Alligator mississippiensis: one gene and its partners. The protein of the gene in region 2 binds, or shares a complex with, the protein of the main gene of each other region. Links are inferred from orthologs where the notes say so. Each region holds a gene or a part of one and is shown on either strand. Other genes may lie near its edges.

The links.
Region 1: POLR1H (region 2) and RRN3 share a complex: the UniProt entries of both Homo sapiens proteins name them as parts of the pol I pre-initiation complex. The link is inferred for Alligator mississippiensis from reciprocal best matches to the Homo sapiens genes POLR1H and RRN3.
Region 3: POLR1H (region 2) and UBTF share a complex: the UniProt entries of both Homo sapiens proteins name them as parts of the pol I pre-initiation complex. The link is inferred for Alligator mississippiensis from reciprocal best matches to the Homo sapiens genes POLR1H and UBTF.
Region 4: POLR1H (region 2) and POLR2K share a complex: the UniProt entries of both Homo sapiens proteins name them as parts of the pol I pre-initiation complex. The link is inferred for Alligator mississippiensis from reciprocal best matches to the Homo sapiens genes POLR1H and POLR2K.

What each region holds. Positions count from the first base shown.
Region 1 is NC_081836.1:42,573,641-42,580,469, forward strand, and holds the start of RRN3 (RNA polymerase I-specific transcription initiation factor RRN3), read left to right. Parts: upstream 1-3,812; 5' UTR 3,813-3,968; coding exon 3,969-4,058; intron 4,059-4,428; coding exon 4,429-4,485; intron 4,486-5,599; coding exon 5,600-5,689; intron 5,690-5,775; coding exon 5,776-5,905; intron 5,906-6,225; coding exon 6,226-6,285; intron 6,286-6,829. UniProt on the Homo sapiens protein: Required for efficient transcription initiation by RNA polymerase I (Pol I). Required for the formation of the competent pre-initiation complex (PIC).
Region 2 is NC_081834.1:54,008,902-54,015,737, forward strand, and holds the start of POLR1H (DNA-directed RNA polymerase I subunit RPA12), read right to left. Parts: upstream 3,011-6,836; 5' UTR 2,968-3,010; coding exon 2,838-2,967; intron 2,737-2,837; coding exon 2,636-2,736; intron 2,170-2,635; coding exon 2,060-2,169; intron 1-2,059. UniProt on the Homo sapiens protein: Core component of RNA polymerase I (Pol I), a DNA-dependent RNA polymerase which synthesizes ribosomal RNA precursors using the four ribonucleoside triphosphates as substrates. Can mediate Pol I proofreading of the nascent RNA transcript.
Region 3 is NC_081827.1:159,407,662-159,415,614, reverse strand, and holds the start of UBTF (nucleolar transcription factor 1), read right to left. Parts: upstream 3,020-7,953; 5' UTR 2,929-3,019; intron 2,726-2,928; exon of another isoform or gene 2,636-2,725; intron 2,206-2,635; exon of another isoform or gene 2,116-2,205; intron 1,638-2,115; exon of another isoform or gene 1,554-1,637; intron 660-1,553; 5' UTR 577-659; coding exon 519-576; intron 1-518. UniProt on the Homo sapiens protein: Recognizes the ribosomal RNA gene promoter and activates transcription mediated by RNA polymerase I (Pol I) through cooperative interactions with the transcription factor SL1/TIF-IB complex.
Region 4 is NC_081826.1:38,817,573-38,825,345, reverse strand, and holds the start of POLR2K (DNA-directed RNA polymerases I, II, and III subunit RPABC4), read left to right. Parts: upstream 1-4,772; 5' UTR 4,773-4,874; intron 4,875-5,010; exon of another isoform or gene 5,011-5,111; intron 5,112-6,204; 5' UTR 6,205-6,236; coding exon 6,237-6,297; intron 6,298-7,773. UniProt on the Homo sapiens protein: DNA-dependent RNA polymerase catalyzes the transcription of DNA into RNA using the four ribonucleoside triphosphates as substrates.

The DNA of each region.
Region 1 (6,829 bases), on a different chromosome or scaffold from region 2:
CCTGGCAACTGACTCCCCAGCCCAGCCCAGCCCCTGGCCTCTTTACTTTTCATTCCATCCACGAAGAGCACACACCAAGTGCTGACACTTCCTTAGCCTGACGAAGGGTTTTTGAACTTGAAAGCTTGCTTAATAACTATTCTCCAACCATTTGGATTGGTCTAATAAAAGATATCAAATTCACCCAAGGAACCTTGTCTGCCTATTTAAAACTATGTTTTTCAGACAATCTAGCCATAGGGTACAAGCACAAACCGTTGTCATAATTTAAAAGCTGCCTTGTAGTTTAGTTTAGGAAACTGAATCCAGTAAAAATAGTTTTAATAGTCAACACGATATTTTAAAGAGTTTGCAGCAAAGAAAGGTAATCTTCAAAGGAGTTGACTAATTAGGGTCCATAAAAAATGTTTGCCTCATAGTTGACAAAAAATTAATAGCTTCCTTGGTTATTTTGAAATGTAGGACTTTTATAAAGCTTGCATTCTGTAATTTAGTACTGAATAGGCAAGAACCTTTACATTCAAAGATACCCGTTTTCAACTTCTATGCAAGTATTTTAGACATTCTGTGGAGGCACCGAGAAATTGATTCAGAATGACCAATAAGGCTGTAAGTTCAACTATGTTTGACGTCTTCCAGTGAGGTCCCGTGACCTTTGACACCAATGAAGTTGCAGGAAGTGACAATGAAATGGGTCTGGAAATGTGGTTTAAAATCTAAAATAAAAACGATATAAAAGCAAGAATGAAATAATACCAAACACATGACTAAAATAAACACTTTCGCTTCTACTCACTTCTCAGTGAATGAAAGAAGCATAATGCACGTCAACAGATCAAATGTGGAAAAAATATCAGTCAGACCTGGTGCCATGCCCGGGTTGACATGGTTCCTGCAGGACCCGCCTAGGCAGAACTGGGTCGGCACCGACCAGGAAAAGCAGCATGCAGCTGAAGCCGGCTTCCCACGTGCTGCTGGAGACAGGAGGAGGCCGGCCAGGTCTGCGGTGGAGCCATGTGCCGCTCGGGACTGACCGGTGCAGGCTCGTCCCGTCTCGAGTGGCATGTGGCTCCGCCACCGCTTCTCCTGGCTGGTGCAGACCCAGCCAGGCTCCTCCGGTCCCCAGCAGCACATGAGAAGCAGCCCCCTCGGGGCCTCGCGCATGGGCGGCCGGGCCTGGAGAGCCGCAGCACCGGGGGGAAGTCTGGCCAGGGGAGCAGGCACCGCCTTGCTGTGAGGCAGGGCAGGGTAGCGGGGCTGGCTTGGAGCGGGCGGGTGAGGAGGCAGGCATGGGCCAGCAGTGCCACCGGCCGCTGCTTGGCCTCCTGCGTGGGGCAGTCCCGCGGCACTGGTTGCGGCCGCCTGGATGGGCACCGGCTTGTCGGGGCGGGTGGGCGGGCGGGGCCGCTCAGCAGCCGCAGCCTGCACCGCCCCCGGCCAGGGAGGGGTCCAGTCCCTGCAAAGGATGCCCCCGGCCGTGCCATGCTGACCCAGTGCGTGTGGGAAACTTGTCCCTTCCCTAGCCCTTCAGTAGCCATTAGGAAGCTGCTGAGGGGCTGGGGGAGGGACAAGGGGTGGGAACAAAAGTAAACCATGTTTACTTTAGTTTCCTGTCGCGGTACCACGGGCCGCAGAACATGCCTTGGTGGGCTGCATGGCGGCCCGCGGGCTGTATGTTGGACAAGCCTGTGCTAGTGGGACAGGCTCATGACTGAAATCACTTCTTTTATCAGTGTCAGTGTAGTGACATTGCAAACTTTGCCCCACTGCCCTTACAATTCCTTATGTGTGATCCTTCTAGAAGGACCAAAGGTCAAGCTGTTAGGTGTCTTTCTGACAGCTACCCATGGCAGAACGCACAGAATCATGTTTAGAACATGGTTGCTCCCAACCTAATTGCAGAACGATTCCATTTTTCAGTAAAGACAAACCCTAAAACAAAGCGAAGAGAAACCCATGGGAAACACAGTTAAGGAACTCAGTTTGATTCTGTCTACAAGATGCTGTAAAATCAGCAATCAACCATATTGTAACCATTTCCTTGCAATACAGTAGTTCATCCATTCCAGGGGCGGGCACTTATTTCAGGCGGAGGGCCGCTTACTGAGTATTGGCAAGCTACTGAGGGCCGTATGACAGGCAGCTAGGGGCAAATAAATATTAATTTTCTAAATTTTTTAGGGGCCCCGCAGGCAGGATAGAATGGCCTGGCAGGCCGCATCCAGGCCACAGGCCACATTTTGCCCACCCTGATCTGTTCAATCTTTTTAACTTTGCTGCAAATAGTCATTACTTCAACTTGTTCTTTTTATGTGGACATTTATCCACCAGAAAATGAACTGAGAGCGCTAACTTTTGTCAGACCACTTCTAATGACTGCATGTTCTGTACTTTCTTTCAAAACAGACTGCCCTATACCTGCTGAAGTGTAGTAACCAAAGATATAATGGACTGAAGAACAAAGCCTATGGCACAATCTAGCAAATTGCTAGAGCTATTTTAGGTGAATTACCTGGAGAATAAGAGTATTATTTGTTCTTTTGGGTTTAAAGGAAATGAACAGCTAGCTTGCCTCTCCAGCAAGCGTACTCAATGATATTTCATCATAAATAGCGGTGTGTTTTTTAAATACTGAAAGTGGGAAAGGCACCAGAGTCGCATGGCTTTATACTGGTTGCCAGAATGCTGTAGTATGCCTGCCATGCCTACTCCAGGCAGAAGGCAGGGCAGAGAGAAACCTTATAGACTAAGTCAGAGATGCATTCACTTTTGTAATCAACAGCTCACTTTATCAGATGCTACAAAAGGACTGGCAGGGAGCAAGGGTTCATCTAGAAAGTGTGCTGTAAGTACAAAGTGACGCGTAGATCTACCAGACCTACACGTCAAAGAGCTGCTCAGCACAGCTCACAGACCCTGTCATGGACCCGGAGGGACAGCCGTGTGACTTCAGCTCCCTCTGTGCAAAAACGAAGTCTATTTCCTACCCATGGGGACTTTTTACCATCTTGTATCGTCTGTACTGTTCCCAGAGCCTAATGAAGGGACTTTGATCCTGAAAGCTTGCAGAAAAAGGACAATTTTCTTGCGATTTCCCACTTGGTCTAATAAAAAGTCTCATTTTGGAACCAAGAGATCTAGTTTTTGTGTATGTCTTACGTACAACATTATTTTGTTACAACTTATTACCCCTACAGAGGTCATTTCAGGCCATTAGCTGTCCTTACCTATAATGTAGCGTCTGGATTGCCACAAACATGTTTCCTGGTGGATCTCAAATCTTTTCAGTCCTGGCAGGATGTGATTTTGCTCAATAATGGAAACTGCGGTTCTATTATCATGACTTTTTTTTTTTAAATTTAATTTAGGCACAGTAGTTTTGGAGCGTTGTGGTCCGAGATCCCCTTTTCCCTTTGGACGGAAGGTCCCCAAAGCCCCCCCCTGCGGACGGGATGCTTCACATTGCTACCCTGGGCCCCGGGAACCGCCCCGGGCCCGGGCCCGGGCCCAGCTCCCTGGCACTGAGGCTCGGACACGGGGCGGGGGAAGGAGCCGGGCGGTGCAGACCAGGGGGCGAGGGGGTCCCGGACACTTCTGAGGAAAAAACCGGGGGGGGGGGGGAGGGGAGAGGAGGAGAAGACACGTCACCTCCCCCAGCGCCTTGGGCGTGGCCAAGATCCCCGCCCCTAGTCCTCCGAGGGGCAGCGAGAGGGGAAACCAGAACGGCCGCATGGCCAACGTGCCAGCCACCTTAGACTAGTAGTGTGGGCGTGCGTCACTTCCGGGGGGCTCAGTGCTCGTTTCCGGCCCGCAGGCGGAGGCATGGCGGGGCCCGGCCGCGCGGCTGGCGGCGAGGAGCGGGGCGGGCCCGGCGGCCGGGGGCGCTGAGGCGGGAGGGGGTGACGGTGTCTTTACCGCCCCCCCAGCAGTGGGCTGCACGCGAGGCGGCCGGTCTGACCGTTGCGGCCATGGAGGGAGGCGCGTTCCTCGGCTCCCCGCTCAGGAAAACGGTCCGGTTCGGCGGGACCTTGAGGGACGTCCTGCTGAAGCACGAGCAGGTGACGGCGCCTGGGCTTGTCTCGGGGGTGATGAAAAGCTGCTTCTTGCTCCCTCCCCCATCGGCCTCGGTCCCGGGGGTGCTGGTGGGCTGCTTCCTCGGGCTTCTCTGAGGAAACGTAGGGGATGGGTGGGCAGAAGGGAGAAGCACCAGCCAGACTTTAGTAGTAGAGCAGGGGAGAGAGAAGCTGCGACTCTTGCTGCCACTTTATGGCTTTTCTGGCTTTTGCCAGGGGTCTTCCAAGCTGTCCTTAGTAACAGAAGAGGAAGCTTGTGTTTCAGATGGGTTAGGTAGCGGGGCCCGAGCTGTGCTCCGGGATCGCAGGAAACCGAATGTGCCTCTGTTTTCTTTCCCCTTCACACTCACTCTAGGGAGAAACTGCTGACTTTGAGTTGTTAAAGCATCAGCTGTCAGATCCAGATATAAAGGTGAGACATTTTTGCAATGGGGGATTCTGATAGTTGTGGTTGTTTCATGGGAGTACATTTAATTATGAGGCAGAGTGTGGCCATTGTGTTTTAAACATGATTTTAAACCCCCCTCAAATAGATTTCTTGGTGCTTGATCAGGTTTCAGGGAGGGTTTCTTATCTTTCAGATATCTTTGCTCTGTGTTAACTTTGCAGTGACAGAAGTCTTGTCAGTTTCCAGATCAGCTACACCTTTGATCCCTCCTCGCCTCTTTGAGAGCGCTCCACTTGGAGTCAGACCGTTATTACATTTCTTCAGGTGGCAGCTTATGTTCCATTCCTTCCAGACCACAGAGTGTTAGGCTGCGTTTCCATGGCAATTCCCTGATAATTCTAAACTAATCCTTTCAGTTCAGCACCTGCTCCAGACTTGGGAGTGATCCTATTCTACCTATTCCAAGTGTAATCCTGTTGGACCTTGTTCAAGTCTCTGAAGAAGTGTTTACTTGCTTACTTTTGTACATGCCATCATCTTAGTCGTATGACTAAGTTGCAGAAAATCGGTAAGAGACAAGATCTGTCCATTTTTTGCAGTAACTGTTTTGCAGAGGCTTGAGAAGGTTGGAAGAGGATCACAGGTGTGCGCCCACGTCTATTTAAGGAGAATGGTTGGAATAAGATCTGTCAGGCTTTTTTCTTTCGGGCAAAGGACTTTAGGAACAACTAATTGACAGTTGGAGCACAACGTTGCTTCCTTGTAGAGAACGGATAGGTGATACATCCAAGGGTTCCTTGTGCCCAGCGGCTGGGAGGACCAGGACTAGATTTAGGACTACAAGGAGTGTCTAGAGTACTACGTAGTTCCCCTACTTAGCTATTACGTTCAGTGTGATAAATCCACTCATCTTGGATTTTGAAAGAGAACTGTGTTCAGCAACTATGGGTGGATTTGCAATTTCTGCCTTTCTCCACTCTGGTATTGGTGTGCCTTGTGCAGGAGGAAGGGTGCTGGGTGACATTCCTAACATGCTGGTGTAGAAACTGCTTCCCTAATCATAATTCTCATGTTTATTTGGGTTTTAAAGGTTTTTATATTAATGCAATTGCTCTATTTTATTGTCTGCTTATATAAGGATGCCCAGATCATTAACTGGTTGCATGAATTCCGTGCTTCTGTTGTATACTTGACAAAAGATGTGGAGGAGCTGGTCAGCATTTTGTTGGTAAGTAGCCACTCATAATATATAGAAATAAATGTTTAATCTCAAAATGTCTGTATATTTCACATCATTGTTCTAACTGCCTGCAGAAGCTGCCATGGTTGAAAAGAAGCCAGGATGTGGTGGAGGAATATTTAGATTTTCTGGGTAACCTGGTATCAGCACAAAGTATCTATCTTAGACCCTGCCTCCGCATGGTTGTCTCACATTTTGTACCTTGTAAGTTTGTAATTCGTTTTATTCTAAATGGGATAATTCACACTCTTTTTACTAAAATAACTTGGAGTAAGAGAATTTGTATAAGGTCAAATTTTGTAAGAAATTTATAAGAAATTAGCTTAAAACTAGATAACAGCATGTACAATTTTTCTGGCTTCTTGAGTAGAAGAAAACTTCTTTTCTTGTTTTGATGTATTGTAGATATTGTGGGTTTTCACCAGGTAGTTCTGGTGAAAATATTGTTCTGAAGATGCTTTAACTTGTGGCTGTCATCTCTATGCTTTTTATAGTTATGCACTAATAGTTCTCTTTCCTAACAGCTCAAGTAATCGTAAGGGAAGATGGTGTGGATTTTTCAGATTCTGATGATGATGAAGAAAGTGAGTACTCAAGCAGCATGGTTTGCTATTTGTATTGCTTCCTTTATGCAGAACTTTTCATTGCTGCTGTAATGTAATTGTATTGGTACAAAATCTGCATGAACCCATGCATGCTGAAGAGTAGGAGGACCCCATGTACTTGAATGCACATTACTCCTATTGAAATTAAGTGCATCATCACCTGACCTTGGCTACTTCCAAATCCTTTGAGGTGAATGCTTGGGAAATTTGACTTTCTATTCAAAGCTTTAGTGTCATGATATGGAATTACATTTGTTAATTTTATTCGGGTAGATTTGGGTTTTTTTCAGTATCATAAGTCTTTTACTGAATAGTATTGATATAAAGGTTGAAGACAACTTTTAGCAATATTTTAGAATCATAGAATCACAGAAAATTAGGGTTGGAAGGGACCTCAAGAGGTCATCTAGTCCAGCCTCCTGCTCAAATCATCACCATCCCCAATTACATCATTCCAGCCAGGGCTTTGTTGAGCTGGGCCGTAAAACCCTCCAAAGACAGATTCCGCCACCTCTCTAGTTAA
Region 2 (6,836 bases):
CCCCTTTGTTAGCTTCAATTTATTGATAGATAAAATATGTGAGGTCTCGTCTACGTGGTGCATTTTCTCCATGGTGCAGAAACAGATTATTAGGGTGGCACTTGTAAGTGCATCAGTAAGTTCTGCCCCTCAGTGCAGCACTGTCCTGTGCTGAGCAGATAAACCCTTTGGCTATGCCCAGATGAAAGCGGCTGTGTGGTAGGTGGCACTGCAGACATCTGCATGCCACATACGGCACGTTTAATTGTTCTCCGCACTGCAAGGGAGCAGTGTGGAGGGTTTTTTTGACCATGAGTCAAAAAAATCTGCGGAGCAAAAAGGTAGAGCAGTGCACGCAGGGGTAGTGCACTTCGCTTAGAAGTGGAGATGGGCTGCCCGGAGCCACGCTGCAGCTGCCGGCCAGAATCACTGTTCCTGCAGTCCTCGGAGGCCCCCAGGAAAGACTGCTGGGGACAGCCCAATGCAGGCCCCAGCCTCCCCTACCACCCCTAGGTAACTCGCGACACAACACAGGCATTCCTTGGGGACAACTAGCAGTGGTGCAAGGCGTGCTGCTGCTGCTAGTTGTGCCCCTGCTAGTTGTTCCTGGGGAGACAAACGTCCACATCATGCATGGACGCAGCCTTTGAGGCCCATCTTGTCCTTGATAGGTTGGTCCTTGGTTGCTCTGAAGGCAAAATTTTTAGGACTGGTGCAAATCTCCCCACAGAGGCTTAAAGAATCTGCAGGTGGGGTGGCAAACTGGTCTCTTGATTATTCACTGTAGCTGAGAAAGTACATAGGAAGCAGTGATCCCGCCAGTCTGCAGAGACGCTGTGCCAGTCAGCTCAGATGTCGCATTCAGATACGAACTGCCTCCCTTCATCTTGGTGGGTTCAATCTCAGATGCCAATGACAGATCATTCTATGGTAATTATGTCCACCATTCCCAAAGCATGGAAGAAAGAGGAGGAGGAGGAAGAGGAGGAGAAGGACTGTGCCATGAACCCACTATTTCCCAGTGGGGAAAAGCAGGGAATGCAAACCTCTGGCTGGAATGGGGAGGAAGGGAGCAGAAGGCTAAATTAAGGTGTCTCCACTGTGGGCTTGCTTTGGACCATTTGCCTCATTCCAAATTCAACTTTCAAAAGGGTAAGAAATGCTGTCTTCTAGGTCGGCATTTCTCAACCCATGGGTCGTGACCCAAAAGTGGGTCACATGAATATATGAAAGGGTTGTAAACAAACTTTTAAAATGGATTCTCCTTTGAAGGAGCAAAACGTGGGGAACTATGGCTTTTCCCTTGCAAGCTGGCAGAGTTCCAGCCTGCAAGAGGCTGCCTGGGGCCCCCCCGTGCCCCACACCCACTCACTCCGTGCCCCACACACTGGGGGACTGGGCATCAATGTTTAAAAATGGGTCCTGGTACAAAAAAGGTTGAGAACGCAAGTTCTAGGTGACCAGTGATGTTCACTGGTCACCAAAAAACCTTCAAAGAGAGAATAAATATCTTGCTGTTTACACAATGAGAAGATATTATTAAATTTGGCCTCGAAATTCTTTCACTGAAATGTCACAGGGCTCCTATACAGACATGTGGAGCCTGCTCCAATGCACTGGAAAGCCAGCGTGTCAGAGCAGACTTAGTTCACTGAGTCTGCTGGAACACAAAAATCGACGTGCTCCAGCAGCCTCCCGTGCCACGTGCATCAGCATCGCTATGTCTCCATGCTGAAAAAATGGTGGCTGAGTGGTCTGAATAAAAGCACGTTTGATAAGCTGTCATTAAAAGCGCCCTGCCATTTTTTCAGAGTAGCGATGCATGGTGATGTTGATACATGCAATGCACAGACACTTTTAATTAGCATGGCTTGCTAATTAAAGCACCCAGCATTGCATCCCACAACGTGTGTAAAAATGCCCACGGTTTCTGGTGAAAATCTGAATCTCAGCTTTGACTGATGAAACAACTAAAATCCAGGCTGCTCCAGGACAAAGCTGCTACTCCACGGACTGCAACTTTCCTTTCCTCTTCCCTTCCCCCACCTCCCATAAAAGACACCCACGAATGGCTCCTTACTTGCACTCAGCACAGGTGTAAAACACAGTCTGCCCTTCGTCTGCCGACCTCATTTGCCGGGTGTGATACACCATGCCCTCGTGGCCACACTGGGGGCACTTCCGGTCGATCTGAAATCCCAAGGAATCAATTGTCAGCTTTCCCGACTAGAGAAGAAGTAGTATTTCCTCTCTACTCGGTGCTGGCGAGCCCCCAGCTGGAGCCCTGGGCCCCGTTCTGGGCACCGCGCGTCAAACAGGACGCGGAGAATCTTGACCGGGCGCAGAGAGGGGCCACGGGAACCACGACGGGCCTGGGGCGCCGGGGCGGTAAGACTCGCTCTTTTGAGGTCCCTTCTGGCTCTTAATTTCTGGGATTTCCTGCCTGAGGGAGGCCAATAAGTGAGGTGGTAGGTCTCAACTCACACCCCTCCTGGTGCCATCAATCTGAAAGGGTCACCAGAGCCGAGGCAGGCTCCCAGGGTTACGGGGCAGACGTCACCGGCGCGCTGAGGCCCCTCCGCACGGGGCGATAACCTGCGGGACTCCCCGCCGCAGGACGCTGCCGCACCGCCCGCCCGCAGAGACCCCCACTCACCACGGGGCCCTTCACCTCCTGCCCATCGCCCCCCGCCGGCACAGCCGTGGCCCCGGGCCTGTGAAACTCCACGGATGACTGCACCAGGCGGCCTTCAAAGTCTGCAGGGGGGAAAGGTCATTAAACAACTGTGGGGTGGGAGGGGGAGGGGGACACGACACAGGTTGGGGGAAGGGGCCGAGCAGCCCCGGGCCCGGCCCACCTCGCACGGCGATGGCGAAGTCGCAGCACACGCAGGTGACGCGGTCCTGCACGCCGGGCAGGGGCAGCACCGTGCCGCACTCCGGGCAGAAGTCCGGGCCCGCGCGGAAGGCGGACGGCGCCGGCTCCATGGCGCACGCGCGCCGCCGCCGCGCTCGGAGCAGGCAACTCCCGGTCCGCCAGAGCACTAGAGCTGCAAAGGAAGCGCGCGCGACAGAGCGTCTCCATCCAGAGCAGCGGCTTTCCTTTCCCTTCCTTTCCGGTCCAGCTCTAGTGTCCTCCTCCACTTTCCCCTCCCCTCCAGTTCCGGCTCATCTCGCTCCGCGGTGCGCTGCTCACCCTCTCGGTGTGCGCTGGAGTCTCCAGGGATTAGCTAGTTAATTAATTAGCTCATTAGTCACCCCGTGGGGCATGGCCTCCAAGTGGGTCGCAAGAGTCTATTATTATATCTATTTATAACATCTACTATTCTATTATATCTATTTATTATATCTATTATTTTATATATGAATAAGTGACACTTTCACAATGGAGTCTCCTTTAAAGGAGAAAAACAAGGGAAGCCGGGGCTTTCCCCTGGCAGGCGGGCACAGCTCCAGGCTGGGGGGGGGGGCGGTGCTTGCAGCCACCTGCCCCACCGCACAGACTGGGGGCTGGGGCCTGGGGCCGCGGGGAGGGAGGGACAGGGGCCATTGAAGTTGATGTTTACAAACAGGTCCTGGTACAACAAAGGTTGAGAACCACAGGTCCAGGAGCCGGCTGAGAGCCCCCGAGGAGATAAATGCTATGGGGCAGTTTGTGAAGTCATTTCCCCAAGGGAAAAGGCGGGAAATACTATCACGTGGGGCACTTAAATTTAGGAAGGGGCAAGGACGGGGAAAGAAAACCTTAGAAGCAAATATGCTGCACTGAATCAAGAGTTGACCTTGCACCATAGAGCCAAGAGAAAGGAATAAATAATAAATGTTGAATCTGATATATGCAGTAGTCCAGTGGGTTTTTAAAATGTAAGAGGAAAGTGCATTTGCCTTCCTGACCATGAACGATGTGCCCTGCGGAGGCTGGGGGGCACGGCAAGCTCCTGCAGGTGGTAGCGGCGGCGCTGTTGGCGGCAGGAGGGTGGCAGAGGCGGGTGTGCAGCTCCCGCAGGCAGCCGCAGCGTTGTCAGCAGCAGGGAGCAGGAGACGCCGACCAGTGTTCAACCACCCGCAGACACCGTCGGCAGCAGCCAGCAGCGATTGCAGACCTCCCATAGATGCCGCTGGTTGTCAGCAGCGAGGGTGGGGGGATGGCGAGCAGCGACCAACAGCAGGCTTTTCACAGGGGGTGCACTGCCACGCTCAGGGGATGCACGTGCACCCGTGTGCACGCCCTACGCATTGCTGATGTTTCTGGCGTAAAGTCTATGCGCTGTAATCCATAACTGATCAACGCAAACGCACAGGCATGTTTGCATTGTGTGTCGCAGGCACACTGGTGTTCCAGAAACCTGAATTGATTCAAACACAGTTGGCAGCCCTGCATGTTGGCACATGGTGACCAGCTGTCAGCCGCCATGGTCTGGGTCTAGGGCAGTGGTTTTCAACCTGAGGTCTGCAAATGCCTTGGGGGCGGCAGACTGTCTAAGGCAGGAGTGTCCAACCTTTTTGAATGTGGGGCCGGATCATGAACATTTTATCATCCAGTGGGCCAGTGAGCCATATTCAAAGACCTCACAGGAAGTGACATCACATCAGGAAGTGATGTCACGTGACCTTTGACACCAATGAAGTTGCAGGAATTAACAATGAAATGGGTGTGCTCCGCATGGGAACTTACCCCGTGCCTCCGTCCGCCCTGGCCTGGCCCCGAGGCGCCCCCAGTTCCACGCGGGAACTTACCCCGTGCCTCCGTCCGCCCCAGCCCGGCCCCGAGGCGCCCCCAGTTCCATGCAGGAACTTACTCTGTTCCTCCGTCCACCCCAGCCTGGCCCTGAGGCGCCTCCAGCTCTGCGCAGGAACTTACCTCGTGCCTCCTTCCGCCATGCATGCGGGCAGGGTGTGGACCATGCTGCAGCTCCCCAGGCCACATGCCGGGGGCAAGGGGCGGAGCCCACCCCCAGCTCATCCAATCAGGCGCGGCTGGGGCAGCCCCACTCCGTGCAGCCCTCGGGGCAGCTGCAGCAGGACCCGGCTCACTGATGAGCTGGGCCCTGCGGGGGTAAGCAGCTCCCCTCCCCTCACTGCCGGCTGGGGCCTGCGGGCCGGCCCTGCCCTGCCCTGCCCTTCCCGCCTCGCTGCTGCCCCGACGCGGCGGCTCTGTGCTTCGCCGCCGCCGCAGCTCTGCGCTCCACCACTGCGGCTCTGCGCTCCGTGGCAGCAGTGGTGGCAGTGCTGCCGCCGCTGCGGGCCAGATAAAATGGCTTGGCGGGCCGCATGGTGACCCGCAGGCCGTATGTTGGACGAGCCTGGTCTAAGGGGTACACAAAAAATGACTGATCAATCAACCACATGTGAATACACACATGTACAGGTCAAAGTGGTTCACATGTCCGTTCAAAATATTTTAGGCATCTGCAAATGAAAAAAAGGTTGAAAACCACTGGCCTAGGAGCCCATGAAGGTGTGTGTGCAAGGCTTAGTCTACACCAGACCAGTCCTGTGAGCTGGATGTCTCTGGGTACAGCTCTGCTGAGGGACGGGGACCCCTGATGCCAGAGCACCTCTTGCTGAAGGGATGTGATGCCACAAACAGCAAAATAAGCCCTTCTGCTGCCATGTGTCTCCACTAATGTCTCTGACACCTTGGAGATGCTGAGCCAGCTGTGGCAGCACCTGGCCTGTGATGTAGGGGATCTCTCTGTCCTCGTACCTTTCTTATTGAACAAGTATCTAGATTCTAGAGTCTCTGTAGCTGTTTTGAATGGCAGCGTGTGAAACAGCACCCTGTGACTCTTCATTTCCAAATGAGGCAGTTGACGTTTCTGCAAGGGAGGGATACTGGAAACAGGCAGAATTGATTTTACCCATCCAGTTTTTGTCAACTGAAAATCTGTCACATGGTTTGCTTCCTTGCTACATGTCACCTTCACTATTACTGTCACCTGAGAAGTAGGTGATTAATCCTGTGCCTGATTGAGAAGCCCTGACAGGAGGGTGAGGTGCTAGACCTACTCGCCTGTCACTCTGATCCAGGGTGAGTATCTCTCAATCGCAGACCCCCTTATATGAGCCCAGGACTGCACTTGGCATCACCTGGAATGACTTCAGGGTCCATCAAATAAAGTGATCCAACCTCTGCTTGTGGCAAAGGAGATCCAGGGCCAAGAGCCCTCTGCAAAGTCAGGCCATCACATCAGGGCCCCTTGTTGGACAGTCCTTGTTGCAGCATGCTGGGCTCTAGTGTAGTTCTTCTCCCAACTGGGGGATGCAGTGGTGGGGGACTCTGAGTTTTATTGGGATTGCTTATTATTTGTGACAAGCCCCCCTGCAGATCTGACGGGCCAAAAATAATTTTTCTGTCTGTGGCGGGGAACACATGGGGGAGCCAAAATGGGGAGATAGTGGCATCTCTTCCTACAGAGAAAAATAGCCAATGTTATGGTCAGATACATTTGCTTCATGGATTGGCTGGCCAATAATAAGGAGCCTATCTTGGGGTCAGGGACCCAGAGGCCTAAAGGCTGAGTGAGTTAAGTCAAGGCTGAGAGGGTGAGGCCACAGGTAATGAAAGCAGCCTGGCCTGTGGTCAGGGACCCAGAGAGCTAAGGGCTGAATGAGTCGGCCAAGGCTGAGAGGGCCAAGACCAGAGGGAGAGCAGTGCAGCTTGGGTTTGGGGACTCAAAGGGCTGATGGGTGGCCCAGAGTGTGAGAGTTGGCAGGGGCCCAGGGCCCAGAGTGCACAAGGTAGGGGCCCAGGGCACTAGACCTGGACTGAAAGGTGCATCCAGAATAAACGGGGCAAGGCCGGGAAGGCTGAGTCTTTGACAAAAGTCTGGGGCCCGAAGGCCAAAAGTTGGGTT
Region 3 (7,953 bases), on a different chromosome or scaffold from region 2:
AGGCCAATAAAAGTTAGTCCTTTTTTTTTTTTAAAAGCATCTCACTGGCCGTTTGATTCAGCCAGGCTTGTTGCCATGTCTGCAGCTCGACCAAACGAGTGTGGGGTGGCATATTATTAGGTTTATCACTTGCTTTCAGGGGCCAATATGAAGCATGAAACAATGTTTTCCAGCATTCCCGTGAAAGGGCTAGGAGAAAGAATGGTGTAAAGACCAAATCCGTAACAGGATCTGGTCAACGTACTGGGCAGGCTCTTAAACCCAAACTGAAGGTGTCCTGCTAATTTCTAAGCATGCTAGGAATGGGTGACGCTGCTCTCGCAGCCCCTTCCCCCAGGCGGTTATGCAAGTGCTTGATTTCACACACGGGAGCGTCCAACTGGAACTGCTCACGGGCACAAAACTGGGCGAGTCTTCCAGAGACAGCTGGAAGGGAGGTGTAAAGGGATCTCAGCACCCGGGTCCCTTGCATAGCTGGGGGAGAGCCAGGCATCCTTGGGCAGCGGGGCTACTCTCACCTTGATTTTTGGGAGCTGTCATTTCCAAGTCCGTAGGGCACTCCGCTTCTCCGTTCATTCTCCACCTGTCTGACCCAAGGGCAGTCCCTTCTGGGCCTCCTGGCTCCTTCCGAGTCTACCTTAAATCAAGTAAGCTTCACTCTAAAAGGCAAAGGGAAACCCGAGCTATAAATGGCTTGCAAAAAGCCCCTCTGCTTGGAAGAGGCATAGTCAAGGGAACTGAAACCCCTTGCCCAACTCCAAGAGGAAGCCTTTCCCAGTCAAAAGGGAAGAGCTGGAGCGCACAGCACCCCTTCACCTGCTGGTGAGTGAGTGGAGGGTGGCTCCCGGGGGCCGGGTCGAGGCGGTAGCCCCCGAGGGAGAGCAGTGGAAGAGCCCAGCCACGCCAGGAGGTAGGAAAAGCCACCTCCTGGGAGGCACCCCCCCCAGGCTCCTCCCCCGCCCCCAGTCTCGGCCGGGCACACCTGAGCGCCCGCGGGGTCCCGCCCCTGCCCCGGGGCCAGGCCGGCGGGGTGGGGGGCGGCGGGGCGCCCCCATGCAGCAGCAGGTAGGGCCTGCAGCGCCGTTGCGGGGCCGGGCCGGGCCGGCAGGGGGGAGCCAAGGGAGGCGCGCGCGGGGGGGCGGGATCCCGGGCGGGGGGGCGGGCCCGCGGGGGGGTCCCGCGCGGCGGGGGAGGGACCGCGGCGCGGGGGGGCGGCACGGCGGGGGGGCGGGAGGAGGGATCCCCGCGGGCCGGGGGAGGGGGCAGGGCCGCGGGCGGGCCGGATCCCCACATGCCCTGCGCAGCCCCTGCCCAAATGCAGTTGCGGCCGGCGCCAGTCTCCTCCTCCTCTTCCAGGCAGCAGCACCCGGCTGGGACCGACGGCTCCGGCAGCTGCGCCGCCCTCCCCCACCCCCTGCGGGCCGACGAGGCGGCCTCCTCTCCGCGCCGCGCCGCGCCCGGCCTCCGCCGCAGCTCCGGCAGCGCCCCCCGCTCCGCTCCGCGCCCGCCCCCGGGGAGCTGCGGCCCCCGCTCCGCCCGGCCCCGGCTCTCACCGCAGGGCGCGCGGCAGCTGCGGGCGGGCGGGCGCGGCTCAGCAGGGCAGGGCAGGGCTGCGCTGCGCCGAGCTGAGCTGACTCCGCCGCCTCGGCGCCGGCTGCGGGCGGCCCCTTCCCTCCCGCCCTCCCTCTCTCTCTCTCTCTCTCTCTCTCTCCTCCCGCCCGCCCCTGCTGGCTCCCCGCTCCCGCCTCGCCCGCTCCCTCCCCCGGCCGCCAGCGGGGACAGGCGCCGCCTCAGCCGCGCGGCTCGGTGCCCGCCGGAGACAGCGGCGCGGGGCCGCCTCCCCCGCGCCCTCCCGCGGCCCGGCCGGGGACAATGGGGCCGCCGCGGCTCCGGGCTGGGGCCGGGACTCGCGCCGCGCCGCGCGGGCGAACAATGGCTGGCGCGGCCGAGGCGCCGGAGCCCCGCCGCGGCCCCGCCCGGGCTATGAGCCGCCGCGGCCCCGCTCGGGGCCGGGCAGCGCGTCCTCCCCGCGCCGGCCCCGGGGAGCGGCGCCGCGGCCCCCCCCCACCCCAGCGCCGCAGCCAGGGCAGGGCAGGGACGCGCCCGGGCACGCACCTCCGGATGGCGGCGGCGAGGAGCCGGGCGGGCGGGCGGGGATGGCGACCTCAGCAGCTCCGGCGCGGAACTAGCAGGCTCGGGAAAAACAACCGACCGCCCAGCGCTGGAAGCCTGCCCCCGACAGCCAGCTGCAGCCGCCGGGGAAGGCGGGCGGAGGGAGGGAGGGGGCAGCGCGGAGGCCGAGCAGCCGCCTCGCCCTCGCGCTCTCCCCCCTCGCCGAGCCCCCGTGCGGCGCCGGGCCCCCCGCAGGCGGAGGCACCGCCGGGCTGCGGCGCTGGGCGCCTGCTGCTGCTGCTGCCGCCGCGGCTCCCGCTCCCCCGCCCGGCCCCTGCTCCCGCTCCATTTCCCGCCGCAGGGTCCGGCCGCGATCGCCGCCACCTCCACGGCGATCCGACCTGATCCGATCAGATCCGATCCTCCCCGCCGGGCCGCGCAGCGCGCGGGGATCCGGCTCGATCCCCCGCGCGGCCGCAGCCCCGGTCCCCCCGCTTGCAGCCGGCCCCGGTCCCCGCCTTACCGAGCAGCGGCTGCGAGCTGGAGAGAGCAGCAGCCGCCGGAGCCCGCCGGGGAGGAAACAAAGCGCCTCCTCCAGCCCCAGATGGCGAACCAGAGCGGCGGGTAATGGCGAGCTCCACATGCGCTCCTGCTGCAGCAAAGCAGCCCGGTGCAGCAAGCGTCGCTTCGGATCGTGCCTTCTCCCCCCTCCCCCTGATCCTTCTCTCCCACCCACCCTCCCTTGCAACGGGGGGCTGCATCGGGCGCGTTGGCTGCTGGAGGTCGGAGGGGGCTTGGCTTCTCCACGGCACGTACCTGCAAACCACCCGGGCTGGAGCAGGGGCTCGGGGGCTGCCTTTTTGGGTGCTTTAGCTGGGGAGCGCTGGTTGAATGCTGGCCAGCTCTGCAGCGCTGGCCCCGGGCGTGGACTCGCTCCAGTCCCCGCAGAGAGATTGCACTTCCCCCGCCTCCATCTCTCTGCTTTTTTCTTCCAATCAGCCGGGCTCTTTTCGCTCCTGGATCCTTAGCCAACCTCACAGCCCTTCACAAGTCTCCACTTTTCCATCTGCTCCCTAAGCGGGATTGTTAGGGACAGGCTTCTCCTCTCTTCTTTTAAACTCTCTCTTCTGGCTCTTAACGGGGCTCTCTGTGTCTCTGCCTCTCTCTATGTGCGTGTGTGTGTGTGTGTTTTTTATTGCTCTTTGCTTTTGCAACACCAGCCAAAAGAAAGGAGGAGGGAAAAGGGAGAGAGAGAGAGCGAGGCAGAGAGAGAGAGAGAGACAGGAGGAAAAAAAAATCTTACATTAGCAACAATCCTCTTCTGACACTTCCAACAGTCCTCTTCTGGCGTTGGCAGCAGGCACATGAGCCACCAACAGTCCCCTTCGCTTTAATTTCAAATGCATGGCCGGAAAAAAAGCATAAAAAGATAAAAAGGTTTGGGTTTTTTTCCAAGTCCCACCTAGCACGGAAAGAAGAGAGCATTCGGGTTTTCCCTGCGAAGTTCCGAGGCCCGGGCCAAGCTCTGGCACCAGCGCACGGGGAGAAGCAGAACTTACACTGCAAGTGGCTGCCTTGTAAACAAGCGCACAGGGAAGAAGACAAAAAAAAAATAAGGGGGAGTTTTGTTGTGTGTCTCTTGCACCAGGAAATGCACGTACAGACTGAAGTGCGATCACACTCGTCTCCGGGCTGCGTGGCACACTGGGCTTTCTTAACGAGACCGTGAAATTGACACACTGGTACATTTCACAGCCAGAGGGGCGGGGAAGGGGAGAGTTTTCCTCTCCTTTTTTTCCTCTCTCCTTCTCTCTCTCTCTCTCTTAATTTTTTTAATGTAATTTCTCCAACTCCACCTTTGTTGTTATGGGCGTCATCTGCTGCTAGCCAATCCCCTGCCTGAGCTCTGCCTGTCAAATTAATGGCAATCCCAATAAGCAAACCGCTCCTACAGACAAAAAAAATGCAATTAGGTGTTATGAGCTGTTGGGGGGGGGGGGGAGGACGGAACGACGACCTAATCTAAAATCCGCAGATTGAGAGGAGGGGGTGCATGGCTTCCGTTTCTTTACCAGTGCAAGGATTCTTCTCTCCTGCAATTGCTGTTGTGTCCTGTTGCATTGGATATGCATCAGCCACGAGGGATCTTTATATAGAGAGGATAGTGTGTGCGTGTACACACACATATGTATATGCACACAGATTTATGCACACACGGTTTTATATATATTTTATTTACATAAGTACACACACATTATATATGGAAAATGGAACGGTGTATCAGATGGTCCTGCTAAATGTACTACTGTTTTGTCCATTTATGATGATTAATTTAAAGAGCTAGTGACTAGGGAGAACCTATTTTAGAATCAATCCTACCCAGGATGTTAGGAAACCATGCTTTTAGAGAGACCCCCCCCTCCCCCCACAACCCCTTGGAATTATATACTTGTCATAGGATTCCTGAATGTTTCATTTCCTGCTCTCATGTTGTGCTGTTGAGGTGTGCTAAATGGTGGCTCACCCAGGAGCTACTCTGTTTTGGTGGAAAAAAAATAGCAATCCTCTTGGATTAAGCCTTACAAATTGAAGGTTTGTGCAGTTTGCATAGAAAAGGCCAGATCATTTTTTTTTTTAATCCAAGCAATTCACGTACAGGCAAATGGGCCTGTATTTTTTAAGGCCTATAATTAAAGGTTGCAAGTGCACATTTTAATAGATATTAGAGGTTGGTGAGAAGTGGTTTGCCTATCCCACAAGAGATTTCAAAGTATTTTCTTGTCCCAATGTGTGATGGAAAGTCAAATTTTGGAAGATATTTTTAAATGATTAATCTGGAAAATAACTCAAATTGTGTCAGTTCATAAGTTTCAGTATTTTCATCTTTAAATCTTTTTAAAAAAATCTATATTAATTAAAATAGCTACATTAACATCATTTCAAACCAGAAAAAAGATTAACTGTTTTGCTTGGAAAAATATCTCATTTTGACAATGTAGACATATTTACTACATGGATTTGGTTTGGTTTGTTATTTTTTGGTGTGGGTTTTTTATTCTTAGTTCAGAAAAAGGGACTCTTTTTTTTTTTTTTTTGCAAACAGCTTTCAACAAATTAACATTTTATAGCAACAAAAAATGTTCTGATGGAAAAGTCTAGCCCACTTCTAGAAAAATGCATCTCTAACTACCAGATTTGCATCAGAGCATGGCAGGCCTGAAAATGTGAGAGTACAATTTTTGCTAGCAAAAGGAATGCCAGCCAATTGCTGAGACATTTCAGTAAAGCTCTGGGATTCCCCACAATATCCTCGGTCAAAATTTTCCTCCTGTTGCTGCTGCTGCATAACAGTGTTTGGCTATTGTGATCAGTTTGGCTATTATACTCCACTCCAGATGCAGCTTCCTTTCAGCGGTGCTTACTTTATAGAGGTTTTGTGATGGAGGGCCACAAGTAAAGGTGGTGCATGAATATGCCATTATAGCCCCCACTACTTATAAAGCTCTTTGCATTTAATTTGCATTTTTGCACTCATTTCAACCATTGTGCTGTCAGGTATGAAATGGGGTGAATAGAGCTGTGTAGCCCATGTATAATGTGTAACAATTCCATCAGGGACCACCAGGGCTAGAATTAGAGCAGCCATACCCAAATCCCCCCACCTCCATTGAGCTTCATGCTGGTATTAAGGATCTACCAGTACAGAGCTCATGAACAGATGAGGACCAAAGCCTTTTTTTTTTATTTACACATCGTGTATAAATCCACTGGTGCCAGAGTCTGGGTGAGAGTGGGGCTAAGACCTAGTTCTTAAGTGACATCACCCTAGAAACTCCTTAGTGTCATTATCCTCTTCCTGGTTACAGTTAGAGGGCAGATTGCTGTATAAATAGTCTCACCTAGCTGCAGAGCAGCATCAGGTGCAAGCGACAAGCTGACTGGTTGCAGAGCCAGCTAGGCTGAGTATAAAAACCCAGGCCTTAGCCTACTCAGTATGTTCCACACTGTAATAACTCAGCCTTGCTCTAGCTTGGAGCATTCATATTAACCTATCCTGTCCTCTGTTTGGACTCTCCAGTTCCTGACCTTTGGCCTGACTTGGACTATGAACATGGATATAATTTGGGATTAGAAATGTGACTTTGATTATCTGCTTTTGACTCCCTTGGCCTAGACTGTGGATCTGGATTCTACTGGCTCAGGTACTTGGCTGACCCCACCCTCCACAAGACTGCCCATGTCCCCATCCTTACATTACAGTCACCTATAGAGAGGAGTAAATTACCAGTACTTGGTACCTGATTACTGAGACAATGTTTCTTCCTTCAGGGGAATACAAACTCTTCCCTCCTCATATAAATTAATTAACATTCATGCACTGCTTTGAGAATGTGAAGCTCTTTATGAGTGTCAGGGCTGTCGTTATGGGGAAGACCAAGGGATGAATCTACACTGATGGGCAGATATTAATAATTCTAATAGTAGTAGTAAAACTTATCAATTACTGCTATTAAATATTCACTATTTACAAAATTCATTAATATATAAAATGTTTTGTATACTACTACAATAATACCTAGCAGTTCCAGGCCCCAGTGTACTCACTGCTGTACAAGCAACACAAAGTTGGTCCCTGCCTTGAAAGAATTGTCGACAGCTTCAGATACAAATCTCTTTTCTTGTGTGTAACCTTTGAGGAAAAAAAAGGTTCAGAAAAGCTGACACATGGCAAAGTGCAAGACACTCTACCTTTTGTACTCGTGCCTTTGTTTTGAGTAGATTTGATGTTTCTGGCCACTGGAATAGCATGGATATTGGCATAACTGCAGTCTGTGAAATGTTTCCACTCTTCTTAAAAGGTTTTGGTGAATGAAAGCAACATGTCCTAATGGGTGTCCTGACTCTAGTTGCAGTGCAGTGTCCATGTCCTTCTTCTGATTGCCACTTTCCCTCCTGTGCAGACCTGAGCAAGTCACTTCTGTTCCATTTCCTCCTTCCAAGCCCTGTGCCCCATTCTTGCTTGGGCTTTTCTCTATTGGGAACATGAGCTTTTGGGGGCATTTATGTGGTACATAGCCCAATAGCTACCTATGCTAAGCTTGGGTCTCCAGTTCTCTCATAATATAAATACTAACAGCAATACATTTTGTACCCAACATATGATTCTCAGCTGATCAGTCCAGACTGGCCTACGCTACCAGTTATGAAACATCCATTTGTACACAAATCAAGTTGCCCAAAGGCTGTATTATTCCCCCAAAGTTGTAATCAAAAGCCCTGCTGCTGTGACCTGATTTGTGCAGCTGGTGTCCTGCACTGAAGCGGAGTTCAGCTGCTTCTTCTAGGAGCTTGTTGAGGATGCAAGGGTCTATCCATTTGAACGGAGTTACAGCATCAGAAACAAAACTCAGGTGTCCAAGGCTGTGAGCCTGCAAACACTTATGCACATCAATAACTGTGAGCAGAACCCCTATGTTTGCTGAAGCTAGTCAGGTGGAGAAACTTACTCATAGGTACATACATACGTGTTTACAGGACTGGGGTGTAAAACAATTCACAGCATCGCTTGCTGTCAGTCGCTGTTGGCAGGAATACCACCTCCTTGTATAGGATATGTAGGCCAGCTTCAAAACTTTAATAGCAAACCTCAGTAATTGGCATTTCAGCTTTCCACTGTGTTGGACATTGACAGAGATGATGGCAGTGGGTATCAGATTGGTATTGTCAGCATGTTTTCTCTGATAGCAATCACATCTTATCCTAATTTTTTTTATGTATTTAATGCAAAACCTATGTCTGAGATCTGGAAACTTGAACTACTTTATTATGCTAAGCTTGTTA
Region 4 (7,773 bases), on a different chromosome or scaffold from region 2:
ATTGACTAACACTACATACTGAATTATAATGCATAGTTCACATTTTGTAGGGTTCTGTACACATCATTTGTAGTAAAAGTATATTTGGGCCTGAGAATGAGAGAGCAATTGGTATTTTTTCACCATAGTTTAAATGGCTGCAGATATGGTAAACATTTACGTTGTTGAAAAATGAACTTTTTTATAACAAAACCAATCGTGGCACTGAAAACACATAATTATTTCTTTGTATCTTTGTTTTAATGAATATAGGAGCATATAGTAAGACCTACAAGAAAAAAGTATTTACCTTAAGCTCTATCAGGCCTAGAATATACACTCTTGAACTTCTGAAAATAAAAAAAAGTTCAGGCAAAGGAGACCACTCCTCTCTGGGTTAAAATTCTCTGGTCATGTGACAATGTCTGAGTCATCTGATTGTTTTCCTCAGGATATGTAGATTAGTTCAGGTAGTTAAATATGTAGCAGAATTGCTGCTTTGGTGTTTGTTTGTTTTTTAATTAAATACTTACAAAAAAATTGTGCAAGTTTACGTTCAATAAAGGCTTTTCTCTTCTCTTTCCAAAATGAATAATGTTAGTGGCCCAGTGTTCACTGCTTTCTTGATCTCTCTCTGTGTTTTATCTTCAGTGGGCCCCATGCTGTTAGGAATAACAATACAAAGACTGCTGGTACTGGCATGCTTGCCCCATTGCTGGGGACTGGTTTGGCCCCTGTAGCAGGCAAACTGAGTTATGCTCAGACTCTTAGCATAACTTTAGGCCTTTCTAGAACTAATTAATTAAATTACAGAGTGCTTACAGAGTGACTGGGAAAAGTGAGTGCTGTGATTGGTACGGTGGGCTAACCAGGTACAGTTTCCCTATAAGGAATGTGCTTGGCACAGTGCCAGTGGAATGATTGGCGCACACACCCAGCAGAGGATCTTAAGTCAGTACCCCCGAAGGTTGCTGTTGTAATGTCTAAAGAAACTGCTTACCAAGTCGTATTAGAGGGAGGAAACTTGTAATAAATAATTACACCTATGACTTAGTGGGGCTAACAGAGACCTGGTGGGATTCATCCCATGACTGGGCGGTACATATTGAGGGCTATAGATTGTACAGAAAGGACAGGTCGGGGAAGAAAGGGGGGGGGGGTTGCACTTTATGTCAGTGAGCAATATACATCAACCCTCATCAAGACAGAATCTGAGGTTGAGGAAGTAGAAGGATTGTGGGTTAGGCTACATGGGGGGCAGGGAGAAAGGGATTTGGTGGTAGGGGTCTGCTACAGACCCCCACACCAAGGGGAAGAAATAGATGCGGGGCTCCTGAGGCAACTCTCAGAGACCATAAAAGCTAAAGAGGCAGTAGTCATGGGGGACCTAAACTACCCGGACATCTAATGGGAGACGCAGACAGCAAGGTCCCATCGCTCACGCAGGTTTCTAACCTGTATACAGGACCTCCACCTGACACAGGAGGTGCATGGTCCCACTAGGGGGAATGCCATACTGGATCTGGTATTGGCAACAGGGGATGACATGATAGGGGACCTCCAGATCGGTAGCCATTTGGGAGACAGTGATCACCTAATAATAGAATTCAACATAAGACGGCGAGTGGGTAAGGTAACTAGTAGGGTGAAAGTGCTAGACTTTAGGAAAGCTGATCTCAATGCACTCAGGCAATTAGTCAAGGAAGCACTGCAGAGTAGGAGTTTTGAAGTGATGGGAGCCCAAGAAGGGTGGCTGTGCCTTAAGGAAACGATCCTTCAGGCACAAAGCAAGACGATCCCCGAGCAAGGCAAAAGAGGGAAAGGGGCCAGGAGGCTTCCCTGGCTGACCACAGAAATCCAGGGCAGCCTAAGGGCCAAAAGGGGAGCACATAAAAAGTGGAAACAGGGTGAGATCACTAAAGATGAATATACCTCCTCTGCTCGTGCTTGTAGGGAGGCAGTTAGGCGGGCCAAAGCTACCATGGAGCTGAGGATGGCAACCCAAGTAAAAGACAACAAGAAATTGTTTTATAGATATATTGGGAGTAAAAGGAAGGCCCAGGGAGGAATAGGACCCCTGCTAAATGGGCAGAAACAATTGGTGATGGACAGGGGGGACAAGGCTGAACTCCTCAACGAGTTCTTTGCCTCAGTGTTCCTAAGTGAGGGGCACAACAAGTCTCTCACTGGGGTTGTAGAGAGGCAGCAGCAAGGCGCCAGACTTCCATACGTAGATCCTGAGGTGGTGCAGAGTCATTTGGAAGAACTGGATGCCTTTAAATCGGCAGGCCCGGATGGGCTCCATCCGAGGGTGCTGAAGGCACTGGCCGACATCATTGCAGAGCCACTGGCAGGAATATTCGAACGTTCATGGCGCACGGGCCAAGTCCCAGAGGACTGGAAAAGGGCTAATGTGGTCCCCATTTTCAAAAAGGGGAGGAAGGAGGACCCGGGCAACTATAGGCCAGTCAGTCTCACCTCCATCCTTGGTAAAGTCTTTGAAAAAATTATCAAGGCTCACATTTGTGAGAGCCCGGCAGGGCAAATTATGCTGAGGGGAAACCAGCACGGGTTTGTGGCGGGCAGATCGTGCCTGACCAATCTAGTCTCTTTCTATGACCAGGTTACGAAACGCCTGGACACAGGAGGAGGGGTGGATGTCGTATACTTAGACTTCAGGAAGGCCTTCGATACGGTATCCCACCCCATACTGGTGAACAAGTATTCACCAAGGCGCCCCAGGGGGTTACAAGAAACAATGGCCACAAGCTAGCAGAGAGCAGATTTAGATTGGACATTAGGAAGAACTTCTTCACAGTTCGAGTGGCCAAGGTCTGGAACGGGCTCCCAAGGGAGGTGGTGCTCTCCCCTACCCTGGGGGTCTTCAAGAGGAGGTTAGATGAGTATCTAGCTGGGGTCATCTAGACCCAGCACTCTTTCCTGCTTATGCAGGGGGTCGGACTCGATGATCTACTGAGGTCCCTTCCGACCCTAACATCTATGAATCTATGAATAGAGATTGCTATTGAAGTTCACTAGACACCACGTCGGATGAGCTGCTGCGTTAATCCTTGGAGGGCTCTGACAAAAAGAATCCTAGGGTTATCATCCCCCAAGACTGGTTCCTAACCTTTTTAGAGTCAAGGCACCCTTTCTTAGACTCAAAGCACCCCTCAGAAAATGTCAGCTCTTAGTTTTCACTGTTTTTTCCACCAGAGGGATATAATAAGCAACTTTTCTGTTGCGGTGAATTCAGAAAGCCCACAACAGGTCAGGATGTATTTAACACTATGGATTCCTATTTGAAATCTCTGGATTTATCTTGTGAATCATATTTGCACATTTCACAGCGCTAACACACAGTGGCAGCCTTGAAAAGATCTCAAGGCAGCCAAGGCACCATTGTTGAGCATCACCAGTCTATAGCGTGGCGCTTGCAATCACACCACAGGTGCTTTCTCTATGACTTTGCTGTAAAAGGTACTTAGGTGCTCATTTGGGTTGGGGATTTATTCATACAAATTCTATGAATGCAGATTTTCCTACACGCATCGGTTCCACTGTATTCTTTTTTCCACTCAGAAACTGTATCTCGCTAAATTAATGGAGAAGCCCTGTAGAAGGGCACTTTGCATCCAAATGCTGGTCTAACATCTTTTTGAACTATACAGTTAGTCCAATAAAACGTATCACCAAAAAACTTTGTTTCTCACATATTTCCTATACCAGCAAGTCTATAACACTCCAACTCTACTACTAAATTATGGGGAATTTCTAACTACACTGCTATTTCCCCATTTCTGTGGCCTAAACCAATCCTTCTATATAAACTAGAATGCCTGTGTTAGTATGCTTATAAAATTAATGTTATTGTACTGTATAGGACCCAGGAAAGAGAACTGAGATACTCAACTCCTTAGCTCAATTTTTTCCTTTTGAACAATTAAAGGTTCAGTCTTGGTTAAATGCACAGTGATCTTTGCTTTTAATATTGAAAGCTTGGTAAATCCTCTAGTGCAGGGATTCCCAGACTGTGGTATGTATGTGTAGCCTGGGGTAGGGGGGATATGGAGAAATTGTGTAATGGCAGATTTAATTTTCATTATAATTGGCATTTAAGGGGTTAAAATATAAAACATGCTGGTACAGCTATGCAGGCAGCTGGTAAATCTGGAAGCGGGGGCACAATAAGAAAAAGTTTGCAACCCCCCCACTGTAGTAGGAACACTACTATAACAATGGCATGGGCACAACTGGTACCAAATAATGAACCCCCACAGTAGTAATGGCTTATTTACAGCTTACTTCAAGGCAGTACAATAAAATGAACAATACAGTTGATATATAACAATAACATGTATATAATTTGCTAAAAACATACAGTGAAAGTAATAATTCTACCAGTTTACTGCAGAACCCCATACACCAAAAAAGCTCAGGAGCCAGCCCCTCCATCAGTGATCTGTGGGCTGGAAAGGACCTCAAGAGTCTTCTAGTTACTCTCTTCCCCCGCCCCCAAATAACTTGCACTTGTTGATTCGCATTAAATAACACGCGTGGGGGCTCTTTCTGGTTGCATTCTGGACCTTTAGGGCGCTCTTGTTTCCTGCGCCAAGCCTTTCTCCACACCCCGGAGTACTACAACCTGACTTTAAAATCGAATTGAAGGAAGGAAGCCGAGGCTCTCAGAAGCGGGGCCGCAGAAAGGCCTGGCTGTCACGAGCCGCGGGACCCGGGCGGGCTGCTCGGAGAAGCAGACAGCGGGGCGCCGGAGCCCTCCGCAAGCACGCGGCCGCGCGGGGACCGGGCAGGCGCGGCGGTGGCTCCTCCCCGGCAGCGGCCGGAAGCTGCCGTGAGGCCTCATTCATCGCTGTCAGGACGGGGCAGCGGCGGAGGTAGGGCATGGGCTGTCTCCCCTCCTTGGCGGCAGGCGCCTGCTGCGCTCTGGCCCTTCCGCGTCCCCGCTGCAGCGGTGGCGCCGCCCGAGGCCTCCCGCCTCCCCCTCCCCGCGCGTGGGGCTGCCAGGGCAGGACTGGCTCGTCCCTGCCCCGCGCCGCCGCGTGCTCAGAGGCACCGCCGGGAAGGCCCAGGGGGTGGGGAAGGGGGCGCCTTTGAGGAGGATGTGACCGAAGGTTGGTCTTGGAGATGGCGCCTGCCCCCGGCCAGCGGAGGGTTGTTCGGGGGAGGGGGCCCTGTTGGCACCTTGTTGTCCTGTAACGTCCTGGGTTTTTGGTCTATTGGCGGCCCTTCCCAGCTGCTCTGTACTCTTACTCCAGCTCTGTGTGTAGTTAAATGTTCCCTGGGGTGGGAGGGTCAACCTTTTGGCAGGCCTGCCATGCAGCCTCCCCAGGTTGCCACTCTGATCCCCCTCCTCTGCTCTGCTTTCTGTTCCAGGCTATGCTCCCTTGTTCTGCTGCCCTGCTTCCTTCCCTCTGCTCACTGCATGAGTTGTTGCTTTGCTTTCTGCTCCCTGCCCTATCTGCTGTGCCTGGCACACAGAGGCTGCCCATGCCACTTGTGGCACCTGTGCCACGGGTTGGCCACCCCTGCTTTAGAGAGTGGTGTTTCTGTGTTCACGTATCTTCTGTATGCTAGGGTATCGCTGCCTGCATTCCCTCAGAGTATCGGGGTGTCAGAGTGGTAGACTGGAAACGTGGATCCCCACACTGGTGATGATGCATGATTGTATTGTGAGAAAAGCTTCAGTATAGCTATAGGTTAGATTGCAGTGGCAAAACCTGGCCTACAACAATATTGCCTGTGGTTTGTGACCTGCTTGTTTGACCCAGGTATGTTATGTTTGCAGGTGTTTTGCTTTTTAGCAATATTTGTATAGGTGCATTGTGGAAAGGGAGAAGAGCTTTTGCCTTGTGCTTCAGCAGGGAGTAAGCATCCGGAGGAGAGGTACACAGAGCAGCATTATCGCTGCGAGATGCCTAAGGTTGTCCTGCTCCGTGATAGACAAAAACCCAACCAAACAGCAATTTGAGCCAGTTACAAAAAAATAGCTTCACGCTAGCCTGGATTTCATACAGGATTGGAAAACTGGCAGCAAACCATGTTCTGGTTTCTAATTGGGTAGAAATGGTGATAGACACGTTTGGCTCCCATGATGCATGTGTGCATGATCTGAAATGTGGAGTAGGAAGGGTCTAGATTCCCTGTACAGAAAATAAGGTTATGCTGTCTGTTTTCTCCCCTTTTTTTTTTTTTTTGATAAACCAGGTTTCTTACATTTGGCTTTTTAGTGACAGAGGATGGATTCTCAAAAGGATGTTCAGCCACCAAAGCAGCAGCCAATGATTTATATCTGTGGAGGTAAGAGTGAAAACAAATGTTTCAGTAATATCTGATGCACATAAGAACAGTCCCTTACTGGTTGAAAAAAGTTAACATTCTCTGAATAGTTTTCTATTTACCAGGATCATTTTGGGAAGTGGTGGTGCATCCCCCAGAGGGAACATGCATTTCCCCAAGGGCAAACAGCAGTGGCAGGGGAACACCTGCAAGTGTGGGGCGTGTGGTGTCTGTGGCACTGCATACTGTACAGCTGCACTCGTCTGGATGCATCTGTTTAGTTCTCTTGATGCAAGGCACAAGATTGCACATTTTGGTCTTCTTGTTAAGTGTTTATAATAATCTGTTTATAGGGAATAGGTGTTGGCATAAAAGATGGCTTTATAAGGATTGCTGTAAGGCTAAAGATTAATTGAAGCCTTGAAGAAATACATGTCCAAAAAGAATAAATTTAGTTTCCAACAGATGAAGAAGATTAAAATAATTTATTATTAAATTATTATTATTACATTTATTATTAAAAACCCTAATAGAAAGAAGAAATAATATCAAATGAGGCTATGGGAGGACTTTGTAACTGCAGGGAATAATAATAATAATAGCCACTTTTTTGGAAAGTTATAGCCAAGGGGTTATAACTATAACAATTGAGTTTAATTCCTGATGCTTATCTTTCTGAACGTATGTGAACATCACTTGTATTAAAAAAAATAAGTTCAACAATTTAACTTGCAGTTGATGAGGAAAGTGATGGTTACCTGGTGAATACAAGCAGATTATTAACTGGACTCTGAGGCTGCTTGCAGGCATTAAAGAAATACAAAAAAAATCAATGTTTTACTTTGAACTCCTCATGTCCCTACACCAAGCTCGGTGCATGTCCAGAAGAGGTAACGCGTTAGTTGGACCTAGCTCGCCCAGTGTCTTTATAGATTGGGTGCTTTAGTGGGGGGGGTTTGGCACTGTTGTCTAATAGCTGATTGAATGTTAGATAAAAACGCCAGAAAGACCTGATGAAGCACCCAGTCTATATCCATGCTGCAGAGCTGGGATGAAGTAATGTGCTGCTACTTCTGCATGCTTTGTTTTGTTTTTGTCTTTTTTTAAAACATCTGCAAGCAGCCTGAATGCCAAGTAAAATTATAGTAATGAGTAATGGAAAGGGCCCCAGTCTTAATCCCCCCCCCCCAGAAATTGCCAAGGAATTCTGACAAAAAACGTAATAGTATTATTTTAGGAAGTATTGGAATGAAACTATAATAGTTCTAACTTTTAAAAATGGTGATGAGAGAGATCCTATAGTATATCATCCTGTTAATTTTATGTATATTCCAGCAAAAATATTTAGACAGTGTTATTTTTTCACCCCACCTACAGAGGTGGGGCAGGGGCAGGAAGCAGAAGCTAGAGAAGTAATGGGAGACTGGAGATCCCACCCCAGCAGCAGCTGGAGTGTTGGGTTGTGGGGGAAGTGTCCAGGTTGGAGTCTGCAGGCAG